Mytilus edulis: one gene and its partners. The protein of the gene in region 1 binds, or shares a complex with, the protein of each later gene. Links are inferred from orthologs where the notes say so. Each region holds a gene or a part of one and is shown on either strand. Other genes may lie near its edges.

Region 1 (5,529 bases):
AAACATTGCTAAAAGTGTAGAGTGTAGCAGTTTTATTGAAATTTCAACAAAAGTTTTATACTTTTATTACTATTATTTGTAAAAACTAAAAGATGCAGATGTCTTCTTACAATGTATATAAAATTAATATTTTTATTGCTTATGGTAACATTTGGTGTTCAAACTCCTACAATAGTATTTTCCTGTTCAATGAGCTTGGTTATTTGGAGCGAAAAATATCAGATAAGAAACATGGAAAATAGTACCAGGCGCGGATCCAGAGGGGGGGTTCCAGGGGTTGGAATTCCCCCTTTTTTTGGACGATCAATGCATTTGAATGGGGACATGTAATTGGAACCCCCCCCCCCCCCTTTGTCCTGGGTTAGAAACCCCCCTTTTTAAAATGGCTGGATCCGCCCCTGAGTACATCCTGTTTTCTGCTTAACAAAATCAAAGCAATATACATATGGAAATTTACAAACCTTTTGGATCAGATACAACTATAAATGGAGCAATTTTATCTTTAAATTGGTATTTTACACCTACATGTATTACTGAATATTATGCAAATGTTTGGGATAACATTTTATCTGACAATATTTTACATGTACATTTTTTGTAGTATTAAAAAAATAAAAAAAGGAAAATTTGATATGCTTGTCAATGCAATGAGACAACTATACATGTACAGGTCACTAGCTAGTGACCAAGGATCAACATGAATAAGGGATGAAGACATGGACATGTCATTTTGGGATACCCATTTATTCAATTTTATTTTTACAAAATGGAAGTAAAGGTCCTCTTTAAAAATCCTCTTATGAACATGAGGAATTGTCAACTTCTAACCAAAATTGTTTAATAATATTTTATGAATTTAAATAATTTAAAACTTTAAATGACTTTTGTACATCCTTTCGAATATGAATCTAAAAAAATTGTAGAAGAATTATCTTAAAACAATCATAAAATAACTCTATTTTGTATCTACCAGTACCACACAATCGAATGATCAGCTATATAGCCATACATCAAGACATGTCAAACTGACAACCTACAGGACTAGATACAAGCTAGGTACAAGTGTACTAGCCTCAGTTAATCATATAAAGTCTGGTGGCTATTATTATTATTATTAATGTATATATTTTAGTTTTATTAAAATAAAAAGTGGTATTCTCACCTAGAGAGTGCATCCAATCTTTGTTTTTCTTCTCTTACATATTCTTTTATTCTTGAAGAAATTTCTCTCTCTGCAAATAAAGCTCTTTCCATGTGGGCCAAAGATGTAAACAGTTCACATCTAACAACTGATGCCACGCAAATAAGCAACAACAAATACCTCTGATTTGTCATTGTTCCTGAGTTAGTCTTCAAAACTTTGTTGTTTATTTTTTAACAATTTGTTTAATAGTGAATGACAACTTCAGTACCAAGTAACATGAAGGGTCTGAGAAATCACCAGAAAGTTCCACGTTGGATGGTGGCTTACGTGCACAAACTCTTGCGTAGAATCTTCAGGAATCTACACACACACACAACATCAAAGAGTGCCCCTTATCAAATTACATTTCATTGATGGGCTATTCCATTGTTGTAGGGAAAACAGGTGTCCCTGTAGATATATGATCATATATTATGAAACAAATCAAAGAGGTTTATAAAGATTGAAAACGTCAAAAACAGAGAATTTTTAATTGCATAGATTTCTTTTGTACGTGCTAACTGATGCACAGTAAAACAGCTTTATTTAAAAATCACATCATTTTATTAGCCCTGGGAGAAAATAATTTTCCAAAGGTCATGTTGATATCACGTGATTACCTCTCGGTCTGGGGTCCTAATCTACGCTTTCAGTCGGCGGCTAAGAAGTGAGTTAGGATCCCAGTTTAATTATTTGTCGGAGCTCCTCGCACTTTTTCATTGTTTAGAACCATGAATGATTTGATAATAACGGTCTCACTAATTAGCGACAACAAGCGTCAACAAGCGACAAGAAGCGACAACAAGCGTCAACAAGCGACAAGAAGCGACAACAAGAATTATTTTAACGACAACAAGCGACAAGAAACTATTTAGCGACAAGAAAACATTTTTTTTTAATTAAAATTAATTATTGCAATAAATATTAAAAGAATATGCAAAAGAAAATAATTTTAGCGACAAGAAAGTTAAAATTGATAGAAAAAAATGAAACATTATTTACATAATATTTTATCATCTATTATGAATAACAGCCAGTATTACGTTTAATTATTGTATTATGAGATTACTTTTCCTTGTGTTTTAGAACAAATTATTTATTTTATAATTTGTTTTTTAAAACTCTAGTCTTTTCGTGCAATATATATTAAGCTCGCAAAATGAATTATTTGTGCATCATTGTCCTGAAAATATTGACACAAATTGTGAAATACAAAGAACTGAAATCAAACAGGAGGAAAAGAAAATTGAAATGTGAATGTTTTCATCTTTTTATTTGTTTATTAATGCCTCATTAAACGATATTTATCATGTTTATGCATATTGATTGAAGATGAAAGGAAATTAATGACAATCTTGAGTTTTCAACAGGTATTCACTATTTACAATGATTGTATATTCTGGCGCGTGTAATTGTATAGTCTGACGCGTGTACAAGTTGAAGGTGTTAATTGGATGTTATTATAGCAATAAAACAGGGGACACGCGACTCGTTAATCTCGTTTGATGTTCCACATTGTGTGTACTGTTATTACCTTAGGGTGAAGCCACATCTAATGTTGTTCCTATCAAGAACAATGAATTATACTGTTAGAAAGGAAATAATATTTCATGTTTTTGTTTCAATAAATCCTTCAAAGGAAAGTTGACCTTTTTTTGTTTTTGTTTCAATTTTATAGCGTGTGCATTTCCTTTGCTCTACCAAGCTGACTGAAGCCATTCAACTTTTATGTTTAGTATAAAGTAAATTGTCAGCATTTCAGTATTATTCTAGCAAAAGTACGTGCTCTGTGCAATTGCTAGTATCTAAAACGCAACTCGGTTTACCTTTGATTAATAAATCAGTTACTTTGTACGTCTTTGATACTGCGCGGTATCAAACGAACCCTTTGGTACAGGGTTTCAATTTCCTTTTGGGCAAGGGAAAAACTTCGATAAATGCATATTAGAAGTATTATAATTATACTATAGTGGACACGTCCGTTCATGATATCCCCTTGGGCAAGGGTAAATATTGAAACGCACTTATTTTGTCACATCGCCGTGTCAAACTGAATCCCTTGGGATAAGGGTTTTCCTCTTGAGCAAAGGAAATAGTAGGGAAGTTATACCTTTGGTTGAAGACAGGGTTTCTAGACAAATATTAAATGAACAAAGCATGATTATTAAAGAAAGAAACCCTGTCCAAGTCTCAACAAATGGCAATTGTCTCTTCAATTCTTTGTCAGTGGACATGTGTGGCAATGAAAGTCTTGCAACAAGACTGAGAGTTTTGACTTGTATAGAGATGGTGTCAAATAAGCTAATTCACAAAGAAATAAAGTTGCAAGAAAGTCTTGTCAATGGCGCACTTTATGGACATGGAGACTTTGAGCTAAGCTCCTCAGTAAGCCATTTTCAATGCACAAAAGCTCTATGGCAGATTAAATCGGAGAAAGAAAAGGCTTTTGCATTGCAAAAATTCTTGACTCATGGGTCTGGAAACACGCTTAAATAATAAAGATGGCAAAGCGTGGCTGAGAGTTCTACAAATAAAGCATCGAATTGACATAACAAGAGTACACTTAGAGCATAGTATTAAGCAAATGAATCAAAATATTATATTCCGTTATGCCCGCTCCATATATATATCTCCATTCGTTTATTCATACTTTGACTTTGATGAAAACAGATACATACATTATCTTATACATATTCTTCATATTTAAAAATAAAAAAAAAAGAACCTCAATCTCTTTCTTTTTCACAAATGTTAAATTTCTTCATCTACCAATATACTAATATAAACTTCACAATCTCTTTCTTCCTCACAAATTTATGTTTCATTTCTTCGTCTATCTATATAATAAAACATTTTAATTAGACATATCTGCTCGTATATTTTAAAAAAAACATTAAATACAAATTTCTTTATATCTAATAAAAAAAAAATATGTTTTCTTGTCGCTAAATAGTCTTCTTGTCGCTTGTTGTCGCTAAAATAATTCTTGTTGTCGCTTCTTGTCGCTTGTCGACGCTTGTTGTCGCTTCTTGACGCTTGTTGTCGCTAATTAGTGAGACCCGATAATAAAATGTTCCGAGGGGAGTTATAAATGGCGGGAATTTAAGTTGATAAACAGTCACATACATTGAACATCGTAGAAATGTTAGCCGAAAAAGCTTTAGAGCTCATTGCTGAGTTACAACGAACAATTGATAGCACACTTGGTCCATATAATGAAGATACAGCCAGACACGTGTTAGAGGAGATGAAAGCTTTGTTTGAACAAAACCAGAAGGATGTCAGCGCCACAGTTGCTGGAGAAAATGGTTTGTTTTCAGGAGTACAACTTCGGCATGCTGCTTTGGAAAGGAATAAAAGGTGTCTTTTAGCATATATTTATAACAGATTACAACACATTAAGAAGATGAGATGGGAGTTTGGAAGTGTACTGCCTTCGGATGTCAAATTGAACCTAGGTGAACAGGAAGTTCAGTGGTTTGGAAAATATAACAAATTGCTAGCAAACTATATGAGGTCTATAGGAGACCACGGGGGACTTGATCTCACACAAGATCTTAAACCACCAAAAACTTTATTCATTGAAGTCAGGTGTTTGATGGATCACGGTGAATTTGAAACTCAAGATGGTAACATTGTATTGTTGAAGAAAAATAGCCAGCATTTTCTATTGAGATCTGAATGTGAACATTTAATTAGACAAGGAGTTTTGGAACATATTGTCCATGGTTAAACACTGTTGAATCAAGTTTATTTAATGTGCAATAAGCCAAAAGCAAGTGTGTAACTTTTATCAAATAAAATCAATAGACAATACCAGACAGTATTTGGATTAATTCTATTTCATTTAATGTAGGTCACCTGGCCCAATGGGTGAACTGATTAATATTGCCCTTATTGTTAGTTATTTTCACAGCTACATGTACATGTATGTCACAGAAACTCGGTTAACTATTAATTTTTTCCAAGGAATATGTCTGTTGATGGGTAAATCGGCTAATGCAACAACAGTATTAAATTCAGGGTTTTAACTTGACTATTGAATGATGAGAGCTATTGAATAATATTCCACAACATTAATACATGCACATGTTTATCAAACTTAACTGAATGTCGAGCAAATATCAATCATCAAATATGTATCAAGCTCAAATTGCCCAAAGTCTGTTAACATGTAGTGAAGTCTTTGGAAGGTCTGTCATAAAAAGTTGAGTCTCCAGAGTCCAAGTCATGCAAATAGCAAAACATATTGTTATGCGTTTACTTTTCTACATTGGCTAGAGGTATAGGGGGAGGGTTGAGATCTCACAAACATGTTTAACCCCGCCGCATTTTTGCGCCTGTCC
Region 2 (7,935 bases), on another chromosome or scaffold:
ACAAACAAATAAAATTGGAAGCCATTTTCTGAAAATGTTATATATAAATTTACTTACTGCATATGCATCAAACATAGCTTTAGTGGCACCATTTCTACCAGAGCTGCCATCTGTTCTGATGCAGAACATTTTAAAGTCCCCTTCAGACATTCTGTATATTATTTAAACAACAATCTAAAGCTGAAAAAAATAATTTTTATTGTAATAAGTTGAACAATGAAAGCAAATTTAAAACCTATTTTCCATGCTTGTTAATAGGCCTAGCACTCGAACTGGACTGCTTGTGGGACAGGTGCCATAATTTTATAATGGATCTAAAATAATTATTTACTTAAACCATGTAAAAAGCCTGTAGTCAAAAGAATTTCTTTTCTACTCACAAGACTGGTAGCTAGTTACTCTTGGATTTTATTGAAGACAAGCAAATTCAATAAGCATTGATTAACACACATAACTATCAAAAACAAAAAGCATTGCATCATCTAAAATAAAAACATACATTATATAAAACACCTGTTTTCTAGTCTATAGCATTATTACTGGACATCACAAAGATTTACAGATGACAACAGTCCAATAATCGCTGACTGATGAAGGGACATTTCAGCCATACTTTGTAATGTTATTTCTACTGTACTTTTTATTGATATACATTTAAATATATATATATACGGTAGTTTAAACAGGTCTCATTAAAAAGTATCATGCACGGTGCATTGTTTAAACAGGATCCCAGAAAGCTTCAACTGGATGAAAAAGTTGTGTAATTTTAGAACTTATCCGGAATGGAATAAATAGTGATTAGGTATATGGAGGCAGGAAGTGGGATTTTGGGAAGTTCTGAAATGTTTTAGCCAATAGGCATTCAGAAGTCAGGTTTGAAATAGCCATTAACAAAATGGCATTTTATACAATACTTTTTTATACAACATTTTTATTTCAACAATGAAAACATATCTTTAGAAATGTTTTTTTATTTAGAAGAGTAAAAAAATAACGTACTCTGCACTAATTTTGAACGCTGGTATAAGAGTAGTGACGTCAATGGGAAGTTTTCCCATGTGATAAAAACAAACACAAATACTGAAGAAACCATCAAGAGGTACATTTTGTATCAGGACCGTTCGCCCTAATAACATGTTCCCCCTAGGTTCGTTCGCTCTGAGTTCGTTTGCCTATAGAGTCTGTTCGCCCTACTATAAAAAGATTAATATTGAGGGCATTGAAGTTGAATTAACTTATTTAGATATTTCTATGGTATGTATATCATGTATATTCTTGAAATATTGAAATATTTAAAAGTTTAAGGCTTGTTTAGGATAATTAATTGTTCAATGACAAAATAATTCAAATCACTGATTGTTGTGATACTTGTCTTTTGGTGGATTAATATTTAAAAACGGATAAAATTTACAAGTTCATTTATTTATACTCTACTAAGTCTAAGACTAGTCATACTGCCATACATTTGTGATTGACCGAATACAATTATTTTGTTAACAAATATCAATAAAGATGAATACATTGAAATTTCTACTCTGCAAATCAAAGGGAAAATGATAAATTGATTGCGGCAATATAAATATTCTGTCAATTTAAAAAAAAACATTCAAACTTTAACATATTTTGAATACAGAATACTTTGTTCAAATACTTAAAATAATGCGACTAGACAACAACTAGAAAAAAATAAAAATCAGGGCGAATGGACCCTGGGTGAACATGAATCTGGGTGAACGGACCCGGATTCCCATCAAGATGACCGATTTTAGAATACAGTATTCTGTAGGTGTCGCTGTTGACACTGGATTGTCTCCCTTGTAATTTTTCAAGTCTCGCGTGTATATATTTCACTCTGGTAAACAACTCACTTGTACTTTAAGATATATACTACTAGGTGGCAACTGCTTAACATATTTTTACAAAAATTAAAAAGATATATACATTTATTTATTAACATGAAAATTTAAAGGAAAAAAAAAAAAAAATTTAAAAATTTAACATTACATTAATCAAACCGGCCCGACTCGCAAATAAAGTCACCCAACAATCGCATTAGTGTTTCATTAGAGACGGAGACATTGTCGTTTTTTTCTATTGACAATAAAAGTTCCAAATCAATATGCAACGATCCTGTGTTAAAGTATATCTCATGTATAAGTTTCTGTCTTGCCTCTTCATAATTTTCACAAAATAATAAATAATGTTCCAGTTTCTAATTGACCACATTCACACTTGGGGTCTATATTTTGATTGATTTTGTTCTTGTAATTTTTTAGGTAGTATCCGGATCTTAAATTTCTAATAATTTTTGCTGTTTTATGTTCTGGATAATCAAATGTAGATTTTTTGCTGACAGTCTGATGAAAGTTATAATAAAATCTTCCTGTATCACTATTATCCCATCTATGTTGCCACTTTTTATTTACTAAAATTCTTGCTGCTGTTTTAATATCTTGTTTAGTTACTGTAATATGAGCTTCTTTTTGAATTTGATTTGCCTCTTTAGCTAGTTTATCAGCTATTTCATTTCCTCTAACATCTAGTTATACAGTAGGATATAGCAACTTCTGCAGTTAGTGGCTGAAAAGTCTTGAAAGTATAGTCAGAGAACTGTTCCTTTCAAATAAACTAAATCAGTAGACAGAGCAAAAACTCCGTAAAAAAATCCTGTGACAAAATTACTAAAAAAATCTGTATTAATCAATCAATTTCATGTTAAACTTTTATGTTTTGAGATTTTCACAGATGATGCACTGACAGCATGTTGTTTGTAAAACTGTCAAAAGTTAGGGAAAATGCTACTGTTATTTTCAGTGGCTTTGTGACACAGTTAAAGGGTTATGTTTGTTTCTTCATTGAAATTTCATGACATCTGTTTCATTTTTTACCTTTGTTTTCATTAAATCATTTGTTAACTTAAACTTTCAAAACAAATAAATGTAATTCGGAATTTCGGGGATTTCCGAAAAACCGCCTGCCGTGCAAATCCCGCCGAAAACGTGATAAATAATATATAATTAATTTTCTTAAGTTAATTTTAATTTAGTAACAATTTTCGTGGTCAAAATGTAAAGGGTTTCACACAGATTGTAATTATTGGAATTAAAAAAAAATATTATAACATTTGTATACATGATCATACATCGCGTCACGAGAATTTACGAGATTTCATTTTCTTTTGTCAATGCCGAAAAGTGAGAAATAATAAGGTAGTTATATCCCTAAAAACATGCTTTAAATCAGATCGTATGCAAATATATTAATGACAAAACCCAACCAACGTGTTATTGCATATATTTTAATCACCTCGAATCGCTGAAAACTCATCAAAAATATTGTTTGCCCATTGGAATTGGCATTGAACAAATGTTGAATAAATTATTTAGCCATCATTCGGGTCAGCAAGAAATTATTACTGACAATTATATCAATTCTCACACTGACAGGTGATCTTAGAAACGAATATGATGACTTGGTTAGAACTAAGCAATAGACAGGAAGTAAATGACATAAGACCAAGATTTACTGAAAGAGCTAGCGAAGGAAATAGCCCCTATACTCACACTGATCTTCCAAACATCAATCGAAACAGGGGATGTACCATCTGACTGGAGGAATGCCAATGTTAGCCCAGTCTTCAAGAAAGGCGAGAGATATAGAGCAGAGAACTACCGACCAATATCTCTGACTTGCATATGCTGCAAACTCATAGAGCACATAATCACAAGCCATATCATGAACCATGCAGATCGCCACCAAATTCTATACCCATTACTACATGGCTTTCGCTCCAAACGTTCTTGTGAAACCCAGCTAATTGAATTTGTGGACGACATCACTAAAAACATGAGTGCAGGTAAACAGACAGACGTACTAATTATGGATTTCTCTAAAGCTTTCGACAAAGTTGGTCACAGTCTACTCGTTCATAAACTCGAACACTACGGAATCAGAGGAAATGTCAATAGGTGGATTGCTAGCTTCCTATCACATCGGACACAAGCAGTAGTAGTGGATGGAGAGAGCTCATCACATATTGATGTAGAATCTGGGGTACCCCAAGGCTCAGTCCTTGGGCCTTCGCTATTCCTGTTTTACATCAACGACATGCCTGATGGAATTAAATCTACTATTCGCCTATTTGCTGATGACACCATAGACTACCTTACAATATCAAACGACAAAGATTCCAACGACCTACAAAAAGATCTAGATAAATTGGCAATATGGGAAACCAAATGGAAAATGGCCTTCCACCCAGACAAGTGCAATGTACTCACCATCAGCCGGAAAAACAACACCATTGCAACATCATACAAACTACATGGTCACACTTTAGAACTTGTCAAAAGCGCAAAATACCTAGGCTGCACATTCACGTTCGAAATGAAATGGAATGACCATGTTAACAACATCTGCAACAAAGCCAATAGAACAATCGGCTTTCTAAAACAAAACCTGAACATCGGATCAACGTCTGTATGGGATCCATACAACAAAACAGAAATAGACCGAATTGAGATGGTTCAGAGACGTGCAGCACGTTATGTGATGAATAAACACTAAAATCACTCAAGTGTAAGCAAGATGTTAAACAACCTAGAATGGAGATCACTTGAACAAAGAAGAAAAGATGCAAGACTAACCATGCTCTTTAAAATAGTAAACGAGAAAGTTGCTGTGACAAAGGAAGATCGTTTGATTCCACCTAAACGATTGTCAAGAAATATGCATGACAGAAGCTTCCAAATTCCAGCAGCATCAAATGATTACCGGAAATTTTCTTTCTTTCCACGAACCATCAAAGATTGGAACAGTCTACCTCCTGGGGTAGTGTCAGCGCCGTCAGTCGAGGCTTTTAAAGCCTCGGTGACAAAGCTGAACTAAATTCAAACAATATGGGGGGAGGGGGGAGGGGTCCGTATGCGCACCGAAGTCATGGCAAAATATTCAATTAGTTGATTGTGGCCATTATCCGGTAAAAGTAGAAGTAGACAGTCTGTAGCTCAAAATGCATTTTTTTCAAGAAATAATAGACATAATTTCATAAAATTATTAACTATTTATCCTAGTGGCAGTGCAAATTCTGTGATGAATTTTGCACTCTTGACCCTCTTGCTGCCAGTTGTTTTTCAGGGTTGCATTTCATATGCCAGAAAATACGACCACTCGACGTTTGTGACAAGAAATGCCAAACAATGACGTCAATCAATATATGACGTCATGTTGTAATGACCGTTACATGTGAGAGCCATTGTAGAAACATATTAATGTTCGGTCTTTCATTTTGAAAGAGGAACAGCAATGATCAGAAGCTTGCATAAATCAAAACATGGACATACATTTATATGTGTCCCTCCAGCACAGTGGTTGTAGACTGACATATGTATCCCTCCGGAAGCAAGAGGGTTAAGCTGTAAAGGGTTATCCAGAAGGGTTCTAGAATTGAAAGCCCCACTTCCATGACTTTTATAGGTTGCGTTCGCCATACTTGAATTGTGTAACTATAGAGCGTGATTCTACACTACAGCACCTTAACCCTTTGATCTAAAGCGCTGCCATGCGTCTCAGATGTCCCCAGCTTAAGTCTTGGAGAAGACAATATGGCTTTGCCAAGAAAATCATGCTCTCTGGAAACATTTGGCGCTGTACTCAAGAAAACAGCAATATGGTTAACGTTAAATATCATTTCTACCTAGAGTAATCATTGTTAGTCGTATGATATGATGACATCTGAGGTGAAGGAACATGAAGGGAATGCCACAAATAAAGCACATTTATATGATATAAACAGTCTTCACGCTGAACTGCTAAACCTACAGGCCCACAGCTCAATTTTTGGAAAGTTTTAGTTAAGATTATGTTGGCCTGTAGGTCTGATTTTTACAGGCCCCAGAGCAATTTTACCATCATGGGCTGCCACTAAGCGTGAAGACTGTATAAATATTTTTTTCCAAGTGAAAAACATGGTAAATAGTTTATACAGCATCATGTACAGCATAACAACCATCTACATGTCTTGCTTCCATGTTGTCTGTCCCGAGTCGATCCTGTCCCATATTTAAAGTCAATCTGTTCCCAATTAAAAAATATATTTATCAGGAATAATAATGACGATATATAGGAATTGTAATTCAAGGTCATTATAACAACAAAAATGAATGTCAAAATACATAACAATAATACCATATTAGCTTTTTAATACCAAATAATCAGTTATGAATAATCAACATCATGAACATTTAAGGATAAAACATCTATTAATCACAACAAAAAAAACCCAATAATTCATTCATAAGATTAAGATTTATTTTCTCCTGAAAATATAAATATTGGGATGTAATATAGCCTTTCTTTGAACAAAAATAGGGTGCAAATTCGAAAGAACCCAGTGGGCTTATGTGTTTTGGGAGCAAATGGATCCACTATATATATATATATATATATCAACAAGTGTGATGGACCACCATCTTAAAAAAGGGCAAGGAGATCTTTCCTATTTTCTGTTATTTAAATTGTTAGTCAGAAACTGCTTTAAAAGGTAAAAGAGTAATTTGGTTGATTACCCATGACTGATGCCTATCATGAATCAGGACAATTTCTTTTTTATAATATTTTATTGTATTGCTGTTGAATATTTTGATAATCAATCATGATCAATATGTTCAGTTATACAGTACTTATTGATGGTTTATCTGAATGTGTTTGTACAAGCTGTTTACATCATCCATCTATCTTTACATACATGTATTCAGACTTTATGCAATGATTTTTTGATAATTTACATGCATTATCTCTTACAGAACCAGTATTAATAGAGATGGCATTACCTCTCATACGAACACACACACAAGAGCGACCAGTTACACGTAAGTCAATAAAAAGTAATTCATTGAACAACTTGAATAATATTCTATAAATACATGAAATAGTATTCTACTGATGTTCATCATGTTTATCATGTTTATATCATTTTGAACATTTTTTACATTTTGAATCAAACTGATGTTGCCATGTTTTATAAGTGTAACTTAGAATTTAGACAAAGCTTTGCAATAGTTGAACTTGTAATTGTTTTAGTGTAAAGGGGATGTTATTTGTCATTGTTGAACTTGATAATGTTTGTTAAATGTAAAGGCTAACTAGTGCAAGTAATATTACAACATTTGAATTTATTTTTTATGATAAATTTTCAATCTCCTTGTTTTTGTGCTGAAGTTTGATTAGTTTGTATTTTATATCAGACTCCAGCATTTTATTTTTATTTTGCAGCTCAAAGAGGAAGATCTATTGGATCAGTAAGTTTGTACTTGTAGTTTTACACAAATGAAATTATTTATTATTCAAAGATCATGTGTGACACATTTTTTGATTCATTGCCCATCATCTTCCTGTTTAATGAATATATTTATGTATCAAAGATATCTAAAGTTAGGAATCAAATTTCATGAGATAATGCTTTTCTGTTTGATGTCCTGATAGAGGGGTTAGAATTAGTGATTAAATACATGTAGCTTATACAGTCGATTCCACTTAATTGCATACCGCTTAATAGCATAATTCGGTTAATTGCATAGTTTTCTCCTGCACAAAACCATTTCCCATTCATCTAATGTTAAATTGTCCGGTTATATGCATAGCTCTACAAGTGGCCTTTCGGTTTATTGCATAGAAAATTATTGCCGTCTAGATATGCTTAGTTAAAACTGACGAGATTTTTGACCGGAAACGGTCATTTGGTAAGTATATTTTTCTTGAATGCATCCTTATTTTCGTTATTATTTCATATTTACTTTTGTGTTATTGAAATAAAGTTTTAAAACAGTTTCTTTCGTGTTTATATTATGGAATTTGATTTAAAAATAAACCTCGATGTCTACACAGGTAAAGTTTCCCATGTTCTATTTTAAGCCTCGAGGTCATAAAAATGTC
Region 3 (7,778 bases), on another chromosome or scaffold:
ATATAAAAAAAATGAACGAAAAACAAACATGTAACACATAGTGTAAACAAACAACAACTACTGAATTACAGGCTCCTGACTTAGGACAGGCACACACATACATAATGTGGCGGGGTTAAAAACATAAGAACGAAATTTAAAAATCAGTTGAAAAAGGCTTAACTCATGCTTAAACTCCACTTATCTTAAACTCTGTCGGATAGTTGACTCATTGACAGTCATACCGCATATCCTTATTTTATTCTGGTATGAACTACCTTCAGGTGAAGTTGGGACTACTCCATGTATAAAAATAATCTCTTGAATAACATATTTAAGATACAAAAACTGATATACATGTATGTAATTTCAATCAAATAGTGTATTGATGAAAACCCAAACGTTGTCAAGCATCAATTAACACAACACATGACAGTAAAACATTTGTCACGAGAACCCAACAAGGATAAATCATGTATGGATGATGTATGATATGGTGGATATGGTTACGTCTCTATCTAATTTTGATATATCCTCAGTTTTGTTTTACGTTTTATTTACACCAGATGAGTATTCCAATATAAACAACATTACCCGATTTTGTTTAAGAAATACAACTGCAATTTGTCTTATAACAAAATTCAAAGACATATATACTTAACTTGTTGAAGTAAGTAAAGATAAGAAGATGTGATATGAATGCCAATGAGACAACTCTCCACAAGAAACTAAAAAACGTAGAGGGCTAGCAACTATATGTCACCGTGTAGTCTTCCACAAAGAAAAACCAATCTCGCATAGCAAGCTATAAAAGTTTTTCAAAGGAAAATGTTAAAGAGTTCAAACGCAAAAACTAAAGGCCGGATTTATCTACAAAACAATAAACGAGAAGCAAATATAAGAAACACACATCAACACAAAACCACTGAATTACAGGCTCCGGAATTGGGACTGTCACATACATAGTGTGTCAAGGTTAACATGTTTGCATACGTGCCAACCCTCTCATAACCAGGGACAGTGGTGTAACAGCACAATATGTAAGAACAAACTATATAGATCACTTGAGAAGGGCTAAAAACTCTTAAAAGCGATACACAGAACAAATCAAGAGACTAAAACTAAAAAAATATAAATCTGAGACTACTCGCAGTATATCTGAAAACTAGTTCACAGTAAATAAGAAATAATAAGAAAATCATGTACCTAAGTATCTAGGTTGTGTCTAAAACTAGGCAATTATCAATCAGTACACGTCCAACTTTAAATGGATTTAGTGTAAAGACGTCATTTACAGTCGAGAAAACATTACCTTCTGACAAAACAAAGGTATTGGTATATGCTACTATGAAATTATAAAGATGTAAAGCGCATGCAGGAATCTGATAAGATATGCTGTTTCGCATATATCTTTTTGTCACTTACAAAGCTTTAACGTTTGAGATATTTTCTGTAAATCTTTTCATTTGACTATTGGACTTATAATGAGTACGGTTTATGCTGTTGTGAACCATTGCATATTATATTTCTTGTATAAAGGGGAGATTAAATAGTTTGCTAATTTGTAGTTTGAAGCAGAACTTATATGTTTTTATATTTTTTTGCATTAAAATTATGAACAAATGCATTCTGGACATTGTACAAGAAAAGGCCCTTCTGTATACTGTTCATGACGTTGATTTATGATAGGACACACGATATAAGTGTAGGATGACATAAACTTATATGAGTACTTTGTGTTTCCTTTCGGTTAACTGCAAGTATTATTTGATACGGTATTTCTTATTTTTTGGGGTATATAATTATTGGTTTTTATCTTTTATGCATCTGTGTATCATTAGGGAGAAAGGAATTCGAGTTCTAAATAAAAAAAAAATCGCCATAATTCACAATCCTGAAACTGTCCTGAGTAGCTGTCTTTTGTTTTATTCTTAACATATTGTATAACAAGCTGTCGTGTGTTGAAGATAATATTGACAACTAACATCAAGGTTTTTTTAATCTTTTTTATCTTGTGCCTGGTTTTGTTGAGTTTGTGACGTATTTATTGATTTAAAATGTCTTCAGTAAGTTAAATCTTAGGGAAATTGACATTATCGAATTTATAGTTTACATATAAATGGAACATTAAGTGTGTACACTATCTTATATCAAAGATAACTTATGACCACAAATGTCGAAAATTCTACTGGAAGAAGTTTCTGGGCAGTGGCTATTTTACCGGCTCCGGCAAAATAGCGATTTGTATAGAGTTTTGCAATTTTGCCGGTCTCAATTAAGATTAAAATAGAATTATAGAAAGTAATAATATAAAGAATACAGAAACATACACTTTAATAAGAAATCTCAGAAATCTCTATACAACTATATCTTCTTTAAACATTTATACAAAACGTTTGATATTCTTTACTTTAATAAGAAGTCTCTAAAACATGTCTTATTTTTTAAAATGTATACAAGTAACTTTTTTTCTTAAATAGGAAGCCTAAAAAATATTTCTTTTTAAAAAATATATAATAGACACAAGCAAAGCATACGAACCCATATTAAAAAATCGACATTCTGATTAAAACTTTTAATAAAATTATCCAATTAGTTTTGAATCAAAAGTTTACACCCAACAAAATCAAACTGCTGTACGAGCGCTACAAAACCAGTGCCTTGCTTTTTGGTGAATTTCTTTTAATTCTGGCACCAGTAAGGTGCTGCCACTGCAGACATGAACTGAACATAACACTTGATTTTTTAATGTCTGCATCTCTTTTGCAAAAATTGCAGATATACACATTTCAGTATTCAACATTCATAGAATAAATATCTAGATTTCTATGAACATTATTTTTTTTTTGTCAATCTTATATTTTATTGCACCATAGACTAAAGATTATTTTTAAAGTTTTGTTTGGTTTTCATAAATTCTATATAGTCATCGTTTCACGTTTCAAAGTACTCCAAAAACCGGCTGTAGCTCTTCATATTATCAGTCAAAAATCAAGTTGATTGATAGCAAATTTATTGTTTTCCATTTTTTTTTTCAATCTTCAACAGAAATTAATGTATGTACATGTAATTTGAAGAGTGCAGTTCACAAAATTGAATGACTAGAAAGGCAACTGAGGTGAACAAAAAGGTTATTGACATCATCTAGCCGGCCACATATATCATTTGTGCATAAATAGTTTCTTAAAAAAAATGTTTCATATAGTCTTGATTAAAAATCTGAAATAAGACCGACAAAATACCAAAACTATACAAATCGTTATTTTGCCGGAGCTACGGCCAATGACAAAACCTACCAGAGACATGTTAAGTATATAATATGTCTCTACACTTGACTGAAAATTCCACCAAAACGAAAACATATTGAAAAGTTGTGTATAAAGGAGAAAGACACTATACTAGATTTTACAGTGTTATCACCATAAATTATAGTTATGGTACCAAGTATTGTATCTTAAAGACTTAAAATAATCTATTCCATAAATATGTCCCACCGTGCATTTTATATTGGCAGTGTCTGCGCGTACCCGCATGCGGGTACGAATAGTCAAATTGCCGTTCTAGGCTGCGCGTACCCACATCCGGTTTCTAGGCTGCGCGTACCCACATCCGGTTTTCTATTGAAATGCCATCGGTTCGGGAATGAAAAGTGAAATATATACGGAAATTATCGATAATGTGGGGATTTCGCGTAGAACGAGTGAAGAGTATGAAAAGTAATATTTTCAAATTGTATTTATTAAATAATGATACATAATAAACATTGCAAAATTAAATGCACAATGATGGAAAATGAAACTGTACAGTCCCTGTAAAAGAAAAACATGATAGAAATTAATACTATTATAAAATTTAAATGAAAATTTAAAGAATAAAATTTTAAATATTTAAAAATATACCCATATGATATTTTAAAATAATCTTTTAGTAAAATGTAAAACCGAAACTGAAATTTATATTAAAATATATAAAACATTTATGTATCCAATATGATTGTTTTGGCACAGATTTCAACCCAGCACATTTCAAATGTTGCCATTCTAAACAGCAATCACATGCCAACGAGTCCTGATCGTGCCCGTAGGTTTTTTTTTTACACTTTATACATATCCAGTCGCATGTTTCCCTTCTTTCAGTGATCTTAATTTTTAGTTGTAACCAAGCTTACGTTTTTAAAAGAAACACCAAGAATCAACCCCCCCCCCCCCCCCCCCCCCCCCCATGAATGCAGGAAAAATTTATTCTGTTGTACTTTAAATCTTCTTTAATTTTTGTGATCCGGGGTTCTTCTTGTCTCTGCGGCTGCTATAGACTCCGAATTTCTTTTATACAATTGTATGAAATTTAACGCCTGATAGTTCTGTACATTTTAAGAATATTTACTAACTGAGAAAAAACTGTTTACTTACCTATATATATATATATATGTGTATATTTATAAAAATTCTGAACAGTTTTAATCAATTTATTTACTAATTGCAACACATTCTGTATATTTTTCACGTTTCATTCCCGATCCGACGGCATTTTATTATAAAACCAGATGTGGGTACGCGCAGCCTAGAAAGGCAATTTGACTATTCGTACATGCGGGTACGCGCAGACACTGCCTTTTATATTATTTTTAAAGATCTTTATGATAAAACACTACATCTGGGACATGGAAAACTTTTTAACACTCAATTGGTTCCGTTAAATAATGCAAAGTTTATAACATATTCTTAAATTTTCATAAATATTCGTATGTGGTTTTGAAGAATACGATAATAGTATGATCTTTGATTGTTGCAAACGTACGTTGACGTTGGTAATAAGCTTTACCATTTTAAACTTCCTGTTCTGTGACCTATTGACCCTTTCCCGCGCTTAAGTTGCACATTGTGAAGAAAAAAAGGAAAACAATGGCAGTAAGTTTTGTTGCAATATAATCTATTCTACGACAATTATAATCATTTGAAGACATGATCTTTAAAGGCAGTTTTAAACTGTGCTCATGAAATTTCACAGTTTTAAAGCATCAACAACATAATCATTGTATAAAATTTAGTGAAAGTTTGTCTTCGGTGAGTCCTTCGTCGTAAAATTTTTCAAAAGGGTCCACAAAATTTATTCTGATTACATACAAACCATAGGCCTCCGCTATCTGTAGACATGAATTAAAACCAAGATATATACAAGTTCGTACATGTGTAAAACTATTACTACCTTACCTCTTCAGGGTTTGATATTGGCAGGGGCCCACTTGGCAATACACCTTAATGTCCTTAAATCTATTCCTTGCTGACTTGAGAATCTGTCCCGCTTGAACTAATGACGCCACATAACAATCACTTTTCCATTGTGGCGTCAGATATAATGTAAAATTATTGTATTATGAAGTCAAAATTTTACAGGAACCTTTGGGATCATCAGAAGTCCAGTAAAGGCGAACAAAAAGCGATAGGACTTTAATCATACATGTAAGGGCTGAGTATACCTGAAACGCTAGTGCCTACTTTAAAGTTTTAAGGGTATCACTTGAACAACTCAAGTTGCTATTCAGAACAACTCTATAAGTAACTCTCTCTATATGTATAGCTATTTTAAGGCCCTGACGAGGCATTAAACAAAAATCTGAATGGTTTGGTGTCATTCAAGGGTTTCTTGAGTTTAACCATAGATGAGTGAGGATTTGAACCGGGGTAAGAGGGGTTAACTTGAGAGGTTTTGACCATAATATTGGAGGCAAACATTTAAACTAAAACCAACCAGATACCATATCGGTTTTTTTTTCACGTATAAAATTTCAGGATTTTCATTGAAAAAGGTATAATAAATATTTTGGCGGTTATTATTTTAGTGGATTAAAACTTTAATCAATACCTTTGTATGTGCATTTATTAATCGGCAGAATTATTTTGGAGATTTTCTTTTATTGCGAAAACAAGCGAAAATTAATACCCCGCTAAAATAACTTACTTCACGTTAAGATAACTGGGGGAACTGGGGTGATGAAACATGTTTTCAGACTAAAAATTATTTTTTGTATATTGTAGTATTTTAAAGATTTTTACTGTAATAAACAAGAGAAAATCTGGAAATTTTTACTGTAACATGCAAGAGAAAATCTGGAAAGTTAATATGCATTTTTGTATATTTCAGGAAGAAACATCATCAGATCCATTTTCCACAGCCACAAGTCCTTCTAGGGGTTCTAGAGGGCGAAGGAGTAGTCGTGGGGACCCACTTACTTCCAGTCCTGGACGAGATTTACCTCCCTTTGAAGATGAGAGTGAAATGGATGCTGGAGTTGCTGAGGAAGAGGCAGATGGAGAAGAACTATTTGGAGATAACCTGGAACAGTAAATATTTCTCCTTAAAAATCTGAATGCAAAAAACATGACTAGACACAAATCTCAAAACCCTACCAAAATATAAGGATTGTGTCGCATCAGCCCTATCCAAAATTAGGGTGAACTCAGATAAACAGATACTAGAAAAGTATTATGCAGTTCCTGACTTGTTGACATAACACATTTGTTAAATGAGTTATTTATGATCCTCTTTCAGAAATACAGAGCATGGTGCCATTTAATTTCAAATATGACTGAATACATATATACATGTATTTGAAAGTGTTTATAATTTATGGTAAAATTGGTTCAGGTACATGTAGCACCCTTTACCTTTCAAACTTATCTAGAACTCTTCAAATTAACTCTTAAGGTACTGTGAAAGTACTTTAATTCGTGGGTATCAATTTTCGTGGTTTGAACAAAATTTACATATTCGTGGATTTCAGTTTTCCAAAAAAAGAAAAAAAAAATCAAAAAAAATTAAAGCCATTAGCAATGAAGGTTACAAATAGTCTGGATTGAGGAAATTGCAAAGGAAACATTGACCCGTGTAAATCGTTGTGATAACACTAACCCATGATAAAGTGATCAACAGATTAAAGACCATCAAAGGTGTTAATTAGGCCATAAACATGTCACCTAAAGAAAACAGTAATATAAACAAGTGCTATAAACGTATCTTGAATTGTCAAAAAATTCTTACCAAAATCAAGCTCAGCATGAAACTATTATTTCCCATATGTACTAGAGTAGATCTATGAGGATATAAAATGAACACTTATCATACTAGCATACCAATGCCGAAAATCTGACTTTCATCGATCAAAATTATTTTTATGATAATTAAAAGATGAAAAGTTGTACAGTTTAGGTTATTAAAGATAAAATGGGTATAATCCTGCATGCTGTTGTAATTCTCTGACTGCTATAAAAGTATTCACAGATTTGGCGTTATTTAATATATTAATATATTCTCTTAATCATATCAGTAGTCAAACCTACTGATAGGGATCTTTCCATGTCTTGATTTGGACAATGGTTGTTTTATTTCGTTGGACACTTAAATTCGAGGATAAAGTCATCCATGAAAACCATGAAAATTGGTACCCCACAAACAAAAGTACTTTCACAGTATAAAAGAGACTTTAAGTCACAGGTATGTTTCTTTCAATATTTCCCAACAAATATTTGAAATGAAACCTATAAGAAATTCATTTAATGTAAAAGTGTACCTTCTTCTAAGTTCACATAGGTTGCAATCATATTAAAGGTAAGCACCTATATGTAGGATGATGACATTGTTAGACGAATATTTTCAAACTTTAAGATTCTAGAACTCTGCATTTTTTTTCATCTAAAATTATTGGAAGAATTTCTTACTCCATTTTTTGCAATGCAAATGTTTTATACATATATTTCTCTCTCCATTGTGTAAGAAATGATTTGCAAAAACCCAGTTATTTG
Region 4 (7,152 bases), on another chromosome or scaffold:
AACACAGTTTGTATTTTTAAAATCTATATTTTAATTAGATTGTGTATTTTCTCATTTGTTATTTTCCTCCCAAGATCAAATTAAGGATGGGGTCGATTACTTTCAAAATGTAATCGACGAAATTACAATTACTTTAAAATTGAGAATGAAAATAAGGTAAAGTGACAACAACCCCAGTCGGAAACCAGGTTGAAATAGAACAAAAGAATCGAAGCTCTTTGTTAGAGAAGGCGATAAATGTTTACTGTATTGTTTACTATAGTGACAAAATTTTTAAAAGTTAATAAAAACAAACAAAATTGCAATTTTCTTCTCAATTACGAGGTGTTTTATTTTAAAAACACCATTTCAATTTATCTAGTACATAGTTAAGCAGAACAATTAGATATCAAGTCGACGACATGGGTATCTTTCAAGTTGGATGAAGAAAATGCATAACCTCCGATTTTTATGAAAAAATTACCACGGACGGAAAACATATCAATCTATTAGTTCAGTAATTTTCGTGTCTGCCCTTCCATTATGTGACTGAAGAAAAAATTCCAAAAAATGGGTAACAATTGCATCGAAAAGAGAAAATCGAGTGCACCTTTTTATGTAAGGGCGTGTTTGAGTTAAATATTTTGTCTTGATATCGTACAAAGCAAGAATATTTCATACATCGTCTCGCTTCAGATTCTATCATTTTTATATATTAAAGCTAGAGGTTGACTTTATAACACAAAAAAATCACAGTACTAAAAGATGAAATATATGGGTCAAGTGAAATACCTAACTCATGAGTCACAAAAACAGAGAAGGTGTGTTCGAATAGCTATTTTTTTACTGAAAGTACTTGACGACAGTCTTTCAAGTTGGATGATGAAAATGCATATCTTCGAAAAAATCTAATTGTTTGTGTGTGATTACTAGGGTTTATAGTCTTCATACACTAAAAAAATCTAGTCTGCCCTTCCACGAATTATTTAATTAGAATTTTTTTAAATGTTTATGAATTTTCGAAAATTCCACCTGACAACCGATCAGACAATAGTTTTAAGTTGAATCAATGCAGACTAGATTTTTAACTGATGCTCATTAGCTAGTTAATACATTAGTCTTTTAAAATACAACTGACATATAAGGATCGTAATGGTGCAATGTGGATAAATTTATCGGTTTCCAAGAGCAATATTGGTAGCGCGTCATCCCTACAATGGCTTCCATTTCTACGATTGTGAAAATGAACTGGCGTAATGGGGAGATAATTTTGACGAAGTAGACTCCTGACTGAACCCGACCAAAGAGCAGACAATAACTAAACGCAACCAATGGGTCTTCAACGCTGTGGGGAAAAAACACCTTGAGGTTGGCCTCGGCTGGCCCCTTAAACATGTTTTGTCACATCTCAACCTCCCCCTATACATCTAGCCAATGTAGAATAAAGAAACACACAACAATACTCACAGAAGAACTCGGTTTAAAAGAAGTTCGAAAAGGTAACAAAAGAAACTAAGCAAAATGACAATGATACATAAATTAACAAGGGACTACTAGCAGGTATTGACATGCCAGCTTCAGACCTCAATTAAATTGATTGAAAGATTATGTGTTCTTCAATGAAAATCAAGCAAATATAACTATATAGTAAAGGTTATGTCTACAAAATAAGCACATAATGAAAACTGTTGTCTGGTTCATAAAAAAAACGTTGGTGAAAAAACTGTTAAAATAGGTGCAATTAGGGTATCCTCACGTTAGCAACTTCACACCTACAAATAAATTTCATGACCAAAATAAAAAAAAGTCTAAAACAAATATCAATAAAATGCTTCGTCGAGCGCAGCCTGATACAACCGCAGATGTAGATTTGGCATATAGAAAACACCAAGTATTGTATGTCAGTTGAAATCAGACATATTTTAATTTTGGACCCTTCAAACTTTAATATGGACTAATTTGAAAACAGGTATCAGGTTAGCCCGAACATCTCAGTTGCAGTAGACTAGGATCTGCAACTACATATCTCCTGAATTTCATATGATAGTCCCACAAAAATGTTTAAAATGTGTAAAAAAAATCCTAGCTTCTCTCATGTGAAAGTCACGGGTACCTTTTTGGTAACTACTTTATGTGATGCGACTAAATGTGAATTATTACACTTTATAGTGACTAACCAGGCCAAACAAATAATTCTCAAGAAACATGCAGAACAAGAATGTGTCCACAATACAGTACACGGATTCCCCACTCGCACTATCAATTTCTATGTGAACCGTGAAATTGGTATAAAAATATAATTTGGCATTGAATTTAGAATGATCATATCATAGGGAACATGTGAAATCAGTTTCAAGTTGATTGGACTTCAACTTCATCAAAAACTACCTCGACCAAAAACTTTAAACTGAAGCGGGACAGACGAACGAACGAACGGACGGACGGACGAATGAACGAACAGACGGACGAACGGACGCACAGACCAGAAAACATAATGCCCCTCTACTATGGTAGGTTGGCCATAAAAAGAAAACAACTTGGAACAGCACCAGCCGTGCCAGACTATGTATGAATAAAATCTCAGATTGGAATAGTATGGAGGATATCGTTTAGTAATTAATATGTCATTGTGAATAGCAAAGAAAGCTATCAATAATCCTGCAGATAATGCAATTTTATCAGGTAACAGCCTGGTTTATCGACTAAAGATTTTCTTATCTCAGGAATAAATTACCTTCGCCGTATTTGGCCGCCAATTTTTGGGAATTTTTGGTCCTCAATGCTCTTCATTTTTGTACTTGTTTGGCTTAAAAAAATATTTTGATCTGAGCGTCATTGATGAGTCTTATGTAGACGAAACGCGCCTCTGGCGTATAAAATTATAATCCTGGTACCTTTGATAACTATTTACACCACTTGGTCGATGCCACTGCTGGTGGACGTTTCGTCCCCTAAGGTATCACAAGCCCAGTAGTCAGCACTTCGTTGTTGACATAAATGTCAAATATATGGTCATTTTTATATTTTTCTGTTTTAAAAACGTAATTTTTTTTTTAAAACTAAGGATTTTCTTAACCGTATTTCGCACAACTTTTTGGAATTTTGGGTCCTCAATGCTCTTCAACTTTGTACTTGTTTGGCCTAAAAAAACAATCTTGATTTGAGCGTCACTGATAAGTCTAATATGGTCTTATATCAGTATTTGCTACATAAATATATAAATGAGAAATAATCAATGTAAAAATGGTATTTTTTTTCAGAAGAAAACCTAAAACAAGTTATGGTAAAACAACCCCAAAAAGACCCTGACTTCTAAACTGTTGGAACCCCTAAAATCAATTTATTATAACCTTTTTTTTTGTGTGTATAATTGAACCTTCTGGTACAATTTTATAGAGATCCATTCACTTTAACTAAAGTTACTGCCCGGAAACCAAATGTGTCTTCGGACAGCAACGACGTAAAACTGGCTTTAAACTATAACATGAAGTTGATGTAAAAACAAAATCATTTGGTCAAAATTTAACACTGGAAAGTATGGGGAATCAGATTATCTTTTTTAAGAAAAAAAAAACATACTCCCTCTAGCATTTTTAAGTTTAATGATCGTTCCCTAAACATTTCCCACCTGAACTTATTATTTTATTTTAGACAAAAACTATATGTGGGGCATTAGTCCTGAACATGCATGAATTATTTGCCACTGGACGTTAAGCAAACCAACAATAAATCAATATGTAGGACATAGTCTTTGTATATAGCTGGCATTTAAGGTAGCGCCTTCATCAGTATTACAAAGAGCACTTTAACCTTTGGATCGTTTGATTGTCCTTCTTTTTAGTATAAATACCTTTTTTTATATAAAAAGAAGCTTAGGTCAGTGCAAATTTTCAACTAATAAAAATCATTAATGAACAAATAATGAAAAATAACCATGTTAGGAATAATTATTTCTGGCTACGTGCAAAGAAAAACACAATCTATGACTAAGGTCACTGGTGTTCTAGCAGGAATAGCTCATGAGTAAACTAACATTTGCAACCACAACCACAGAATACAGCACTCGGGATCAATATACATAATGTATCTACTGTTGCTTTGTCCATGGTAGAGCATCTTTGTTCACACAGACAGGACCGAGTTCGGAACTGTAAATGAGGTTTTAGGCAATTTTAACATACCGGAAATGTCAAAAGACGGAAGCGCGGAATTTTAAAACGTTGAAACACAAAGAAATGACAAGTGAAAGTGTCGATGATTATTTCAGTATTAGTGACATTCTTACAACACAAGAAAGATTGCCATGCAAAGTTGAACTACCTATTTACAGATTAGGCAAGAACACCGCAAATATTCCCTAAAGACGAACCTTTTTGGTGTTTGGAAAAAGGGGAGGGGAGAAATTGTATCTTGCCTGTGAAAAGTGTGATCCTGTCTCTCTGTTTTACAGGAGACACGAATATGAGATAATGCCATGATCGCAGGCTTAGAATAATTCTAAGACAGGTGGTCTGAAAAATACTAAACCTTTTTGAAACCCCAGAGTAATCTATGAAAATAAATTTTAGGACATCAGGGTACCAGGTACAGTTTCTGTCTGGATGGTATCAGATCGTTCTGGCCTCAAGTCGAACCGTCCCAAAGTCTATCAGCCCACACATAGCAGGCCCCAAGTCGAACCCTCCCAAAGTCCATCAGCTCACAATCAGGCCCCAAGTTGAACCGTCCCAAAGTCTACCAGCCCACACAAATCAGGCCCCAAGTATATCCAGCCCCATAATATTAATTAGGCACTGGCTACAGTAATATGGAAATGTAACAATAATAAAAATATTAGACTAATTGCTGGAATGTAAGGTTGGGTAAGGAACCGATTATTATTATGAATGTAACAATAATTATCAAGTCTACGGTTACATTGCCTGATTGTTACATTAATTCACTTCAATGTATGCTGGGACTAGTGATGTGTATTAAAATAAAACTTGCATACAATTTTTAAAAATTTTATTTGCAATATCACATTTCTACAAATTCAATATGTTGTATTTGGGAGCATGCTTTAGTCTGACAAATCTTGGTGCAACAAAGCAGCTATCACAAACAAGTGGTGCAGCAACATGCACGTCTGTATTTCATAGCCTCACCGGACACAATTACGAACGATTTTTGAACTTTGATTAATATTTTTTTATGTAGACTACTTTTCTTGAATTTTTTATACCATAGAATTTAAGATGTATGAAGGCTTTCCATTTTGCAGCATATCCCACATTTTATGCACGTTGGGATACTTTAGTAAGATTTGCATGATCTCGTTTTACGGGTCAAGAGAGCCACATATGGACGCAATTCCGAACAGCACTATATTGATATATCTTGCAGAAGAAATCAATGACAACAGTCTATATTGATAAAGCATACATTAATCTTTATCTCAAACACATTTTCATAGGAAAATAAAAAGCACAAGTTTGTTTTTTTACGTCAATTACTTCAGCAGTGGTTGCAGACGAAATGTCGGTCATGTGTAAAGGAAAGATTTCTGATTTTTTTTTTTTGTGTAAGTTCCTCCTTTAAAGGAGCACTAAATTCAAGTTTATCCATTTCGATGGTGTACTTATCATTCATATATGATTTTTTTTATATTGGTCAACATTTCTTTCGGAGTTCTCTGGACTTTTCAATAAAATTAACGTATTTTCTTTTGACCATACATAGGTTCACAAGAGTCTAAAAAACGTCAATTTGGGGTTATTTGGGCATGATAAAAGGCATCACGCATATGAACAGAATCAGGAGATCTTTTTCTTTCTATATATTAACAAAAGAAGGCAATATGCACTTACCTTTATGTATTTTTTTTTATATAACTTCCAGGTCAGATTGCCGTTCTTATAATATTTTCAAAATGATTTTGTCATCGTCATCAACATTCACCAAGTGCACATAAATTGTATTATCATGAAAACAAGGGATTTTTAGTAGGGTTTTTATTTATAAAAACATTTATTGATAAATATAAACAAATATAATCTCAGAGGGCAAACGTTGGAAATTGTTCGTAATTGTGTCCAGTCGTAATTGCGTCCTGTGGGGCTACTGTACAATTCCATTATGTACTATACTTATTTTTAAGTTTAAAAAACTTTCAATGTCTGTCATGCTTCAGCTGAAAAATTATGTTTTTACTCTTTGATCAAGTATTTGTATATTAAACTCCTTGTTGGTATGTTTATATTTTCATCATTTTTTTGGTTGGAAGCACATGTACATGTGAGGTTGTAGTATGATTTCATTACCGTCCATTACTGATTTTATGTTCACCTCCGATTTCCATATCCAACTTGTCATATCTTAAAAACCCAATAAAACATAAAAATACAAGTCAACTGTGAAGGCAATTGATGTAATAAACATTTGCCGACATGTTGAAACTGGTGGAATCTGTTTTCTTTTTCAGAGTCTAGATATTTTGTGATAGTAATTTCATTCTTATCGGCGAAAAAAAGGAAGCAACAGTTACACAACTATCATGACTATAGAGGGTTTAAGTTGAATCAACAGTTACACAACTATCATGACTATAGAGGGTTTAAGTTGAATTACGCTAGGGTACATTGAAGTGCATTAATGTAACAATAACGCAATGTAACCGTAGACTAAATTATTATTGTTACAATACATTCGTAATTAATCAGATCCTTACCCAACCCTGTATTATGGCAATTAGTTGCCAATGTAGCAATAATAATATTTTTATTATTGTTACATTTCCATGTAACTGTAGCCAGTGCCTATTAATAAGATAATAAATTGTATTTAAAATAGGTAGAAAAATGTAACTGAGGAACCATAGCTCTTAGGTCCTTATGTTATTTTTTGGACCATATGACCACAAATTGTAAAAAAATAAGATAAGGACTTAAGAGCTACGGTTCCACAGCTAGCAAAAAAATGAGAATGATTTGAAAATTTGTAATTTCTGCATATATACTTGTATACAGGTATATGAAGTAAGATACAAATGTAGTGCATTCTTTTTTTCCCTGCAGAAGATGATAAAATAAATGATAATCAGTTATGTTTACTTTTCAAGTACATATAATGTATAGTTTGTGCATGTAATATTTGCAACAGTTTCAGGCCATATTTACTCCATCAACATTAATG

What was found.
Region 2: the proteins of DNA replication complex GINS protein PSF1-like (region 1) and DNA topoisomerase 2-binding protein 1-A-like are in contact, whole or in part, in a cryo-EM structure (PDB 8OK2), measured with the Homo sapiens proteins. The link is inferred for Mytilus edulis from reciprocal best matches to the Homo sapiens genes GINS1 and TOPBP1. Residues at the interface, in NP_066545.3 of Homo sapiens: Asn43, Gln44, Val47, Asn48, Lys51, His66, Arg91, Tyr94, Gly95, Ser96, Asn100, Arg103, Phe104, Arg119, Ala122, Met125, Glu132, Gly133, Leu134, Asp135, Thr137, Gln138, Asp139; in NP_008958.2 of Homo sapiens: Leu490, Leu491, Ser492, Gln493, Tyr494, Glu495, Asn496, Leu586, Ser587, Arg588, Thr589, Val590, Val596, Cys601, Glu602, Val603, Ala605, Thr606, Val607, Gly608, Val610, Lys629, Pro636, Val637, Pro638, Val639, Met640, Thr641, Arg726.
Region 3: DNA replication complex GINS protein PSF1-like (region 1) and DNA replication licensing factor mcm2-like share a complex: the UniProt entries of both Homo sapiens proteins name them as parts of the CMG helicase complex. The link is inferred for Mytilus edulis from reciprocal best matches to the Homo sapiens genes GINS1 and MCM2.
Region 4: the proteins of DNA replication complex GINS protein PSF1-like (region 1) and DNA replication complex GINS protein PSF3-like are in contact, whole or in part, in a cryo-EM structure (PDB 8Q6O), measured with the Xenopus laevis proteins. The link is inferred for Mytilus edulis from reciprocal best matches to the Homo sapiens genes GINS1 and GINS3. Residues at the interface, in NP_001085502.1 of Xenopus laevis: Met1, Phe2, Cys3, Glu4, Ile7, Ile10, Arg11, Leu13, Gln14, Ser17, Asp18, Gly19, Gln20, Leu21, Glu49, Arg55, Asp57, Leu58, Pro60, Thr61, Lys63, Phe64, Arg65, Cys67, Cys68, Arg71, Arg74, Cys75, Val77, Ala78; in NP_001080618.1 of Xenopus laevis: Trp2, Pro4, Tyr5, Met6, Pro7, Val8, Glu16, Asn17, Phe18, Leu19, Ser20, Leu21, Glu22, Asp23, Leu24, Leu25, Ser27, Gln28, Ser37, Phe39, Pro40, Arg41, Leu42, Phe44, Leu45, Pro63, Trp65, Leu66, Gly69, Leu70.

Annotation. Positions count from the first base shown.
Region 1 is NC_092352.1:54,417,423-54,422,951, reverse strand, and holds DNA replication complex GINS protein PSF1-like, read left to right. Parts: upstream 1-4,252; 5' UTR 4,253-4,325; coding exon 4,326-4,916; 3' UTR 4,917-5,004; downstream 5,005-5,529. Other genes in the region: prolyl 4-hydroxylase subunit alpha-2-like, read right to left, coding at 1,163-1,335. UniProt on the Homo sapiens protein: Required for correct functioning of the GINS complex, a complex that plays an essential role in the initiation of DNA replication, and progression of DNA replication forks.
Region 2 is NC_092353.1:31,999,175-32,007,109, forward strand, and holds the start of DNA topoisomerase 2-binding protein 1-A-like, read right to left. Parts: upstream 3,005-7,935; 5' UTR 2,892-3,004; intron 181-2,891; 5' UTR 151-180; coding exon 58-150; intron 1-57. Other genes in the region: zinc finger protein 1-like, read left to right, coding at 6,824-6,872, 7,276-7,301. UniProt on the Homo sapiens protein: Scaffold protein that acts as a key protein-protein adapter in DNA replication and DNA repair. Composed of multiple BRCT domains, which specifically recognize and bind phosphorylated proteins, bringing proteins together into functional combinations.
Region 3 is NC_092344.1:14,624,057-14,631,834, forward strand, and holds the start of DNA replication licensing factor mcm2-like, read left to right. Parts: upstream 1-4,772; 5' UTR 4,773-4,880; coding exon 4,881-4,886; intron 4,887-6,120; coding exon 6,121-6,320; intron 6,321-7,778. UniProt on the Homo sapiens protein: Acts as a component of the MCM2-7 complex (MCM complex) which is the replicative helicase essential for 'once per cell cycle' DNA replication initiation and elongation in eukaryotic cells.
Region 4 is NC_092348.1:25,067,616-25,074,767, forward strand, and holds the start of DNA replication complex GINS protein PSF3-like, read left to right. Parts: upstream 1-4,149; 5' UTR 4,150-4,214; coding exon 4,215-4,314; intron 4,315-7,152. UniProt on the Homo sapiens protein: Required for correct functioning of the GINS complex, a complex that plays an essential role in the initiation of DNA replication, and progression of DNA replication forks.